2 linked regions of the Caenorhabditis elegans genome follow. The protein of the gene in region 2 interacts with the protein of the main gene of each other region in a pairwise test. Each region holds a gene or a part of one and is shown on either strand. Other genes may lie near its edges.

The links.
Region 1: the proteins of hic-1 (region 2) and nab-1 interact in a protein complementation assay, tested with the Caenorhabditis elegans proteins (one study listed by BioGRID).

Annotation. Positions count from the first base shown.
Region 1 is NC_003279.8:4,227,366-4,235,598, forward strand, and holds the start of nab-1 (Neurabin-1), read left to right. Parts: upstream 1-2,211; 5' UTR 2,212-2,303; intron 2,304-2,520; exon of another isoform or gene 2,521-2,522; 5' UTR 2,523-2,549; coding exon 2,550-2,642; intron 2,643-3,398; coding exon 3,399-3,494; coding exon of another isoform or gene 3,495-3,578; exon of another isoform or gene 3,579-3,777; coding exon 3,778-3,860; intron 3,861-4,208; coding exon 4,209-4,397; intron 4,398-5,130; coding exon 5,131-5,338; intron 5,339-5,706; coding exon 5,707-5,869; intron 5,870-6,115; coding exon 6,116-6,322; intron 6,323-6,520; coding exon 6,521-7,158; intron 7,159-7,347; coding exon 7,348-7,695; intron 7,696-8,154; coding exon 8,155-8,233.
Region 2 is NC_003284.9:6,597,300-6,600,404, forward strand, and holds hic-1 (Lens fiber membrane intrinsic protein), read right to left. Parts: upstream 1,410-3,105; 5' UTR 1,403-1,409; coding exon 1,312-1,402; intron 1,264-1,311; coding exon 1,098-1,263; intron 1,040-1,097; coding exon 901-1,039; intron 855-900; coding exon 747-854; 3' UTR 680-746; downstream 1-679.

The sequences.
Region 1 (8,233 bases), on a different chromosome or scaffold from region 2:
GTTTTGTGTAAGTTTTGATGGGGAATTCAAGTTTTATTCAATATTTAATTTTTGCAAGAAAGCCAAATTTTAAAATTAGCCTGTTTTTATTTTAATTTTCAAACCATTCGAAAATTCTCAAACTTTTTGGTCTGTACTTTTTCCCGAAAATTATTAAATTTTATTTCTTCAAAGTTCACATCTTTTGTCGGAATTCTTGTATTTTTATCGTCACCCTAAAAATTTAACCATCTGTCAACCCTCTCTATCTGAACATATTGCTCTCAAGTACATGTTTTCCTGCAAGTGCTTCTCCTAATTCATGTTCCATTTCCTCTTTCCGTCTGTTCTTTTCTCTAATCCTCTTCTACATTCCTATACTATTTCCACCTTTCCAATCTCATCAGAATATTCATCCAGGCGAAATGTTTCCGTATTTTTGATTGTTCGAGTTGATAACCTTTTCTCCGTTATACCTTTCATTCAATTCATAAATGTTTACTCACATATTGCCACTCCTTTCCCTGACTCATAATAACTGTACCCCCATTTTTTTGCAACGTTTCTTTACTTAGTTTTCTTTCTATTTTTTTAATGGTTGCCACACAATTTTTGTTATATTTTCTCCGGATGTTTTCCACTGGCTTCCAGCCCGTTGCGCACTTTCATTCCGGCTCGTTTATTTTTGTAGACATCGTCAGTTTCTTGACATTTCTTATTCTTAAAAGTTCAAAGTTTATTGGAACTTGAAAAAAATCAGAGTTTGAATTTTAAAAATTTTTTTCAGCATATTTTTTGCAAGTTTAGAGATTTTAAATTCCAAAATTGATTTTTGCAGAATTTTTTTGACAGTTTTTTTTAAACTGAAAATGTAGTACTCAAATCAATAGTAGCCAAAGCAATAAAAAAGGCTTGAAAATATATTCCCACCTGAAACAATTTGCGCTCGGAAAATTTAAATTCAGCCAATTTCAGCAACCTTCGTCAATTTAAGAACACCCTCCAGTATAGAAGCTGGGTTTTTTATTTGCAAACTTATCTAGAATGCTGAAAGAAAACTCGAAAAGTATTGCTATTTGTTCCAGATTTTTCCATATTTTTCACACTCATTTCCCAAAAGCTTCTGGCTCCAAGTAAATATTTTTCCAATTTTTTGCCAGTCCGTAAATATATCTATAGCCTCCCTCGTCGTCATGTTTACATGCTCAATTCCATCCTCATTTCTCATTATTTCCTTCATTCATTCTAAAAAATCTTTTCTTAGAATGGACACTTTTAATTTTATATCTGTAAAAATAAATATGTGAAAAGAAAAGTGAGGAAAAAAACAAAGATTGAGAGCCCCCGTTCTGTGATGATTGATGAATGTCGGGTGTTTGAGAATTTTTCATCAAAAACATACTTTCCTTCATCTCTGATTTTTTTTTGGATTTTAAGGATATGTAGAACATTTTGTTTTCCTAATATTTCAAAATAAGATTTAGTTGAAAAATAAATTCAAACATCAAACCTTATTGGCCGACACCCTCACGGTCAAATTTGCCTATCTGATACCCTGAAGTTTGAGCTTATTTTTTTTTGGTTAAATTTTTTGGGCCAAAAAATCGGTGGTCCAATTTCGTGACTTCAAAAAAAGTATTCAAAAATACTAATTTTTTGGATCAATGTAGAGCGCATTTGCACTGATGTACCGTAAAATATGGCGAATTGATAATTGAATTCAAAAATGGTTCGGCTGTGCGGTTCAGATAGGGCGAGTAGAAAGGCGAATAAGAGGTGCCTTCCTACGTCTAGGAACACCTCGTATCTGTGATCTAACTTTAAATTTTTATCCCCAGAATTATTTGCGAAATTTCTGATTTTTGCGACAATTCTAATTCAATAATTGATTTGATTATATCGAGTCTAGACTCTCTATACTTTTTGGCACCTTTTCCCTTTTAATCTCCTTTTTTCTTCCACTTTCCTCTTGCCTCCGCTCTGAATCCGAATTTCGCTTTTCCTTCTTCACACAAATGAACGCAATCCAATTAGTCCTCATCCAACCACCCCGTCCGGTGCCCAAAAACCTGATCCTTATCACAGTTATCACCCGGGAGACGAAAAAGAATATAATTATGAATAAATAGATATTTTCACTTTCCCGTAAATCCTTCTGTCATTCCTCTTCTTCTTCTTTTCTCCAAGCCTCGGAAATATTCTAATCAATTCTGAAATTGAAAATCTCTTCAGAAAAGAAGACGTCGCCGGGACAACAACAACAGCAAGTGGGCGGTGCATGCGTCGTGCGCACCGCTGCTGATAACAAAATAGTGTGCGAGACGGTGAGTCGCAGACAAATCTCACGGGGGAATATCATTTCAGGTCATTCCAACCGGAGAAGACATGCGCGCAAAACGGTCCTTTATTGTTAAGGTTATGCAATATCCTCGGATATTGACACCCTTTCCCGTACCGCCCGTTCGCTCCTCAGTTCCCCTAAACTGATACGAATTATATCCGCTCCCCAACCTTTCCACCTTTTGAAAAATTCAATTTTACAGCTGCCTAATTCAATCCAAACAGCCGAGATGACAACGGCTTCCGAGCTGCTGTCAGACGACGCAAGAGCTCGATTCTCACATACAAAGGCTCTTTTTGAGCAGCTTGAGAGACAGCAAGACGTGAGTTTTTTTTGGATGATAATAATTGGTTTCCGAATTTTGAAATCATTTTGCTATTTTGCATTACGGTTATTTATTTTTCTTGAAAAAACTCACTAAATTGTGGATTAGAGCATATATTCCAGAATTTTTATGCAATTTTTCGCAAAATGATTTTCCTGGCTATATAGATCAAATCTGTAGCTCCCTATGAACAAGTTTTGCCTGCTAGTAGATTCTTCACTTAGGCCTTCAAAGAATAAGTCCCCTCTCTTGATTTGATCTATGAAAATTGCTGGAATTTTGCTCACAGGAAAAGTGAAAAAGTATGACGTCCCCGCTCTTTAGATCACCAGCTGAAAAGTCTGCGTCTAAATTTGGCGAAGTTTTCGGAGATCATTCGGAAAAGAGATACTCTGACTACCAGTTTCTGTATCACTTCACAGCCTCACGTTTAAGAAATTTGACGTCACGTCTGAAAAATGTCTGAAAAAGAGGTTTCCCTATGATCAAGTTTTGCTCAACAATTATTAATTTGGGTCAAAAGTTGGAAACACTGTCGACTTGATTTAGACTTCTACCATATTTATAACTCAAGTTTTGTTAAACACAGCTTAAACCCAGTATTTTCAAAGTCTTGCCCAAATTTTGCCAACTTCTGAGCTAATAGTAAGCTAACTTTTTCAAACATCAGATGCCCGCCACGCTTTTTCCAAAACAAACTCTAAATTGGGCAAGCAGACTACTGTAGTGTCAATTAAAAAATAATGTTTCTAGGTTCCATCATTCTACTCTCCACGTCTTCAACGTCAACCACCACCTCCATTACCCCCAAAACCTCCATCTCAATGTCCGCCGAGTCCGATGTCACAGGTATGTGTGATCAAACAATCACATGGCTCTCTTTCTCTCTCTCTCCTTCTCTTTCTGTTTTCTGGAAAAAGAAATGGAATTTAAAAATTCAAAGACTGTGTCAGTTAGTCAATGTTTTGTGTCTCCAACACCCCCGTCTCTGTTATACTGTTCGGTTGACTAATCCGCTCATCGATAATAGATTCAAAAATAATGGCATTTACTCATATCACACACACACTCCTTTCCCCCATCAGACACACACGCATATAACACATAATCGAAAACTCGAAAACTTTTCCAGGTCGAACGAAATTTCTCTGATTTGGCCGCGGATCTCGATCGGATCCAATCATCGCCGGCAACGTCTAGGTTTATACAAAATAAGTGAGTTGTTTTTTTAAGGATTTGTTACCATACCATAACTTTTTTTTAATTCTCAAAAAAATGTAACTGTAATTTTTTTTGATCAATCGCAATTTTCTCCATTCGGTTCGCGGGCCAAAGTATTTTAATTTTTTTTGGTAGTTACAAAAAGTCGCCTGCAACTAGATTTCAGAAATTCTAGGAAACTGTGCGAAATTCAGATAAATTAGTTGAGAATTTTTTTAAAGGAACTTTTTTGAATTTTCAAATCGAAAAAAAAACCAAAATCTCTGTTTTTTCTTTAATTTCAACTAACATTCTTCTTTGCTTCATTATCAGCTTCGCATGCCTTTTCTTTTTCCAATTCAGATCATCAACTCTTCCGTCATCATATTCCGATTCCACACAGCAGTATTCGTTCGAAAATACGGTTGCCACGTCGCAATATGGAGGACTTCAAACCAACAACAATAATAATAATATTAATATGAATTCATTTGAACCCTATTGGAGAAATGGATCAATATATCGGAGGCAATTCGAAGGAAATGGCAAACCGTATGTGTTTCGCTTCTTTTATTTTTCTTACTTTCTCGCATGAGTTTCTTTATTTTTCTCTATAATAGTTTTTTTTCTTGCGCTGAAGTATTTTAGTTGCGACTAACAAATATTTGTGTTTTTTCGAAAAAAAATGTGGCCTAGAAAAAACCAGAAACTTGGCCAGCATATTTTCTTAGATTTCTCATTCGGGATTTTTTTTGAATTTGCTAAAAAAAAGATCCTTGTGACTTTTCCAAAGTACAAAACTAAAAGTAAAATTTTTGATTCATTCAGGAACACGGTCTTCTTTGGATCTTTCAGAATAGTGATGGCACATAATATCTTGAAATTTTCGAATTTTTCAATTTGAAAAATCTATTAAGATTACAGAAATTGCTAAAATAGCGTGGCCGAGTTTTCTCACATATCGGCTCGTTGGAACCGTAAAAACCCTTTTCAAGCCCATTGTTGGCAAGCTTATGAAGGATCTATCGTAACCTTAAGTTTTTAAAAAACCGCACTGTGTTTGTGATAAAAATTCATTTAGTGTGTCTAGATATATTTTTAGAACGCCGATTTTTTATCGGACATTCACATTTTTTAAAATTTAAAAATTTGATACGATTTGCGCCAGATTGTTTTTTTAGTAAATTTAATATATGCAGGCACCTGAAAAAACCAATCATTTCATGAAAATGAGTTGCTGTTAATATAAATAATCAAATTTCTTCGATCAAAACTTTTTTTTCAGTTTTGGCGAGGAAAACGATGGAATCTCACCAACGACGAATGGAGTGAAGCACACGACATACGCCGTCGTCAAAACACCAAAGGAAACAGAACTTGAAACAACATCAGAAAACAGAGGACTCATGGAAACACGGAGGGGTCTGAGTCCAGAGAGGCCTGACGTGGATTTAACGAATCGAAAGGTCTCGTTCAGCACTGCACCTATTCCGGTAAGATCACCCACTTTTCCCATTCACTCATGTTTCTTTGTTGTTGCAAGTTTGCTCTATGGAATGTATGATGTTCAAAATAATTTTATACTTTTTCTAGGCCAAGACAGATTGAAACGTGGCCGAGAAAAATCTTTTTGAAACTATCAATAGAGCAAACATGCATTCACTGAAACTTGACCACCACAACCTAACATTTCCTTTTGTTTACATATATGTGGCAAGGTGATATTAATTCATTAATAGATATATCTATACAATCTCGAATTAGGTCACCTTATTGATATGATAAGAGATGAGGAACAAGAGAAAAAGAGAAAGAGAAAGCGATCTTCATTTGCATAATATCTAAACGTTTTCACTTTCAGGTCTTCTCGGCGTTTTCCGTTGAAGACTACGATCGCAAGAATGAAGACATTGATCCGGTGGCAAGTTGTGCTGAATATGAATTGGAGAGACGACTTGAAAGAATGGATTTGTTTGAAGTTGATTTGGAAAAGGGTGCCGAGGGACTTGGAGTCTCTATTATTGGTTAGTGATTGTATTGTGGCTTACCATAACTTAGAAGCCTTGTATCTCGGTTACAATCGGATGTTGCTCACAGTTTCTGTTTCATTTTTATAGTTGGAAACTTTCTTTTCTCGGCATAACCAAAGATAACCGAGATATAAGCGCTTAATTAAACTTGAAGGAATGTCAACCTGAAGCTACTGTTTAGGAAAAAATTATATGCTTTCTGCCTGCCTACGGTTTTCGGATAAATTCGTTATGTTTCAGGTATGGGTGTTGGTGCAGACTCGGGTCTTGAAAAGCTGGGAATCTTTGTAAAGAGCATCACACCTGGCGGAGCTGTTCATCGAGATGGACGAATTCGTGTCTGCGATCAAATTGTTTCAGTCGATGGAAAGAGTTTGGTCGGTGTCTCACAGTTGTATGCTGCAAACACGTTGAGATCCACCAGCAATCGAGTCACTTTCACAATTGGTTGGTTTTTTTTGGAGTATTGTGCCGAACGCGTATGATATATTGCATTGATGACTCCGTGAAATAACACAAATATTTTTGTGTGCAACAGCGACTCAATACACCATATTCCGCGCAAGCGTAGAGAAAAAAAGCATCTAGAAAATATTTCAATTATGTTTACCAGTTATCTTCCAATTTAAAAAAAATGTATTGCAGGTCGCGAACAAAACCTTGAAGAATCCGAAGTTGCTCAGCTAATTCAACAAAGTCTTGAACACGACAGAATGAGAATGATGGGAGACGAGGAAGACGATATCGAAGAGCCGCCACCACCACCATCTCAAATGCCACAGCTACCAATTGAACAGGATCGTCCGACAACTTCAATGATCACAAAAGAAGAAATTGAGATTCGTTCGAAGATTGCTGCTCTTGAACTGGAACTTGATGTTACTCATAAGAAAGCAGAGCAATATCATGAAGTGTTGAGCTCAACGAAATCACATTGTGATCAACTGGAAAAGCAGAATGAGCAGGCAAATTATATGATTAAAAACTATCAGGAAAGAGAAAAAGAGTTGTTGAATCGAGAAGAGAATCATGTGGAACAATTGAGAGATAAGGATGTACATTATGCATCATTAGTTCGTCAATTGAAAGAACGAATTGATGAGTTGGAATCGAAATTGGAAGAAGCTGAAGAGAGAAGGCATTCTATTCAGAATCTTGAGCTTATCGAGTTGAGAGAGAAGTTAAAGGAGAAAGTTGAGAAGAGGAATGAAGGAATGGCGTATAGACCAGGTGGAGAGCTTCCTCACGAGGATAAGGCTGTTATGGTTAATTTGGAGACTATTGTAAGTTGGAGAAAATATGAAAGAACATTCATCTTCAAACTTCATTCTAAAACAGTTTTCACATAATGCCTAAAATTAAGCTTGAGCGTAGGCCCTATGCCTAAGCCTAAGCCTACGCCTAAGCCTAAGACTAAGACTAAGCCTAAGCCCAAGTAAGAAACTAATTATAACACCCATTTTCATTTCCAGACTCCATCAACCAAAAAAGATGCGGAAGTATCAGTTGGAAGTAGTTGGACAGAAGAGTACTCATCACCATGCGAGTCGCCAGTCCCTCGTATCTCCGAGCCAGCATCTCCGGCTCTTCCACATAAATTGACGCATCGCAAACTTCTGTTCCCACTCCGAAAGAAGTACGCCGAAAACGAGTTCTGGCGTGCCACGTGTCAACCAGTTGGTCTTCAAGCTCTTCATTGGACGGTGGACGATGTTTGTCAGTTGCTCGTTTCAATGGGCTTGGACAAATATGTGCCAGAGTTCACCATTAATAAGATCGATGGAGCCAAGTTCCTCGAGCTCGACGGAAATAAACTGAAGGTGAGTAAGATGTATACGATCCCGGCGCAAGAAAACTCGGGTAGAAAAAAAAAACGCTGCAATTACATAACGAAAAGTTAAACTATTTCGTAGGCACCAAGGTGCTAAAATTTTTTAAACTTTTCGGTTTTTTGGGTAAAACCGAGAAAAAGATTCCTGAAAATTCTGAAATGAATTCAATATTTATGTTACACTCTATTTCATAAAAACAACAGAAATGTCACTTTTCGAGCAAGAGAGACTGAACTTTTGTTTTTGATTTTTCAGTTTCTTGTGCCAAACCCAAAAACCCTTCAGGTCTAGTAGGCACAGTCTGCCTACCTGAAAAGTGCCTAGAATATACAAGGCTTAAAATAGGTGCATTCTATAAACCTTATGTGACGTCAACTTTTTCAAATTTTCCACAATTTTGGGAAATCACACCACTTGAAATTGTTTATCTGAATCAATATTTTTTAGGCAATGGGAATTCAAAATCACTCGGATCGTTCTCTAATTAAAAAGAAAGTAAAAGGAATGAAGAATAAAATTGAAAGAG
Region 2 (3,105 bases):
TATTATGGCGGGATCCCGAGGACAGCTGCTCGTCACATTAGACACAGAAAACAGAAGAGACGATGAATCAGAGTCAAGGAATCAATGTATACGACATCATGAGTCAGCTGAAGAGCTCATGAAACTATTCTTCACGTCAGTTTTTTTCTAAATGGAATTGAGTAGTGCCCGAGTCATAAAATGAGTCATACCTATCAGAAATGACGTCAGAAAAACAAAACAAAAGGTACAAAGTATTCATTTTTTGGAACATCAAAATTGCGAAATTAAACCGTTTTCCAGAAAGTTAGTAATGCACGTTTGAAACAGTATCTCACAAGATCCTATTAAGCTGGTGCATTCAAAAGTCGGGTAACTCAGTCCTTCGATGTTTTTGGGTAAATTTCCTAATATTTCTTTTTGGTCCGTATGAAAAAAATTTCATACGATTTAATAACTATCATCAAAAGTGAACTCATGATACGTAACTTTAATTTATAGCAGGTAACAAGTAGACATAAACACATGATGCTTTTCTTTGTTGAACATTTTTCGATTGTATTCCTATTTTTATGTTGAATGTATTTTGATAATATATAAAAATATCAATTAAAAACGGATTCCTTTGTGGGCCGTACAATAAATTTTTATTTCAAACTCAAAGTTTTCCATTGATTAGACGAATTCAACTGAGCTTGTACAATTGTCAATACTGTTTATTTTGTCATGAATAAAGCTTTTGCGTTAAGTATGTTCAAGTTAAGTATTTATCGGTATTCCGAGTATGCTCCATATCCAGTTGCACTTCCAGATACTAGTAGTAAAAGAAATGAAAGAATTGTAGCAGCCAAAGTGATTCCCCATGACCATCCGAGCTGAACAATCACACTTTTAAAAAATTGAATTTCAAAACTAATTTACCTTTAACGAAATCAATGCGTTGTAATAGAAGCTTCCAATATTTGCCGCGAATACAATGATGGAAATAAGAAGTAAAATGAATATGATCAAGGAGAGAAGAGTACACGCTGCATGAACCGGCATCATTCTTCGGAAAACTCTGTAAAGTAAAATGATATAAGTTGTCTTCAATTTCACTTGTCTTAAACTTTACTTACATTGCAGGTATGACAAGAAGACAAAACAAGAGCTCAAATGAGAATGCCATTAATTGACAAACCACGACACATTGCAGCCACCCCGCACTTCTTTGGAAACTTCTGTTCGCGCCTGCCTGTCCCCATTGATAAATTCCCATGTGCAAGTTTCCAGAAACACCCCAATCTAGGAATAAATTTCGCATTTCAGGGAACGACAATTTGCCAAACTTACAATTTGTAAAAGTTCCCACTCCGGTTAGTATTGTAACAATAATCAGAAGGCCAGCAATGGCGAATGGTGCGTGATGGTGATGATGATGCATTTTGTGACTGAAATTAACATTTTTTAACCGGAAAAATACTTACAGAAAAGATAAAAAAGATATAACAGGTAGATCAAATTATACTTACGTCATTGTGAAATAGTTCAGAGTAGTTTGTGGTTTGAAACTTTTTACGTAACTTGAGAAAACAGAAACTAAAAAATCGTAGGCATCCTGAGCTAATTTCATTTATTTTGTGGCAACCCACTCGGATTCGTAAAAACTTTAGGACATCATTCGATTTTATGTAATTTAGGAAACGTGCAAGAACATGTTTTCTGAACAAGTAAAAAATAGAAAGCATTTTTTGAAGTCAGATAATCATTTTTCATGCTTATATAGTGTACAGCGGTTCAACTCGACTTTGTGAGATGTTTATCTGGAGTGAGTCTAGTGGCTTTCGATAGAATTTTCTACCGGCATTTAAAAACGTCATTACTTGGTTACTTTAGTTTATCTAACTCCTTAGGTTAAGTTCGAAACAATCCTTACGATAGGATACAAACTAAATCTGTATAGAAATAAATGGGAAATAAATAGGAAAAAGCTTTTTTGGAATCTTTAACTGAAATTATTACTTGAAAAAAAATTATACTTTACAAAAAGCTCGATATACAAAGCTTTAAGTGTGACAGAAACTGCACAAAACTAAAATTCGACTATTTTTCTCGTCAAATAATAACAAAGATAGAAGATCATCCAAATGCCGACCTTTCCTGTTAGTTGACATTGGATAGACTGAACTATATTTCTTTTTGATCCACTATTTGAATATGATCCACAATTTTGAAATGTCCGCCTCTTTGTTTGTTCAGTGAAATCATAGTGATAGAGTTTTCGTGAAAAAAAAATCCTCGCCCTACAGTTTGCTCTCTCATGATTTACCATGTGTGAAACTTTAGTGTAAATTGTCGCGCAAGCTGAATGATTCACTTCATGAAATCGGTTTATTCATAAAAGTATACAACGACTTTATCGAAAAAGGTGACAATATGAAAGAGAGTTATGCATATTCATATTCAGAGTCGTGATTTCACAATTGATACAAATAAAAATGAACAATTTTAAGAAATATACTAACAGGTCAGAGGAAAAGATGACACAGACAAATGCCAAGTCACGAACTAAGAAATAAAGCATCACGCACGAGCATTTTACATCGTGAACTTCCAAGTGGCCATCGCTTCTGGAGGGAGCGACGATGAAGTGTAGCCCATATTGCTGTTGAGAAAGATTTGAACGGTTTCAAGTGATGTGCAAAGAATTGAGATGATTATGACCAGGACACTAACTAGGGAGTGTTTTAACTATGTGGTGCGATCGGGTAAAAGTAAACGTGTTATGCGATAGCTGGCGTTTTAGGCTTTCAGAATCTGTGATTTGTTTCGGCAGAAGACCTCTGTGAGTCTGGAAATTTTCATCTGAAAATGTAGTACTGAAATCAGTGCATTTCCTATGGTTAACAGTGGATTTTGTCTCTGGCGCCAACAGAAGTCTCACCACAATGGTGGAAGGGTGAAATCATCGCTTCGGTGGTCGAGTGGTGAACGCATTCGCCTCTTGAGCAAAAGTTTGTGGGTTCGGTTCCCACACATGGTTTAAATTTTGGCCTTTTTTTATACAAAATTTTTAGAACGGGAAACAAATGTTTAAAACAGTTTTTTGAGGTTTTTACATTACTTTTTTGCTTTTTGATTGAACCA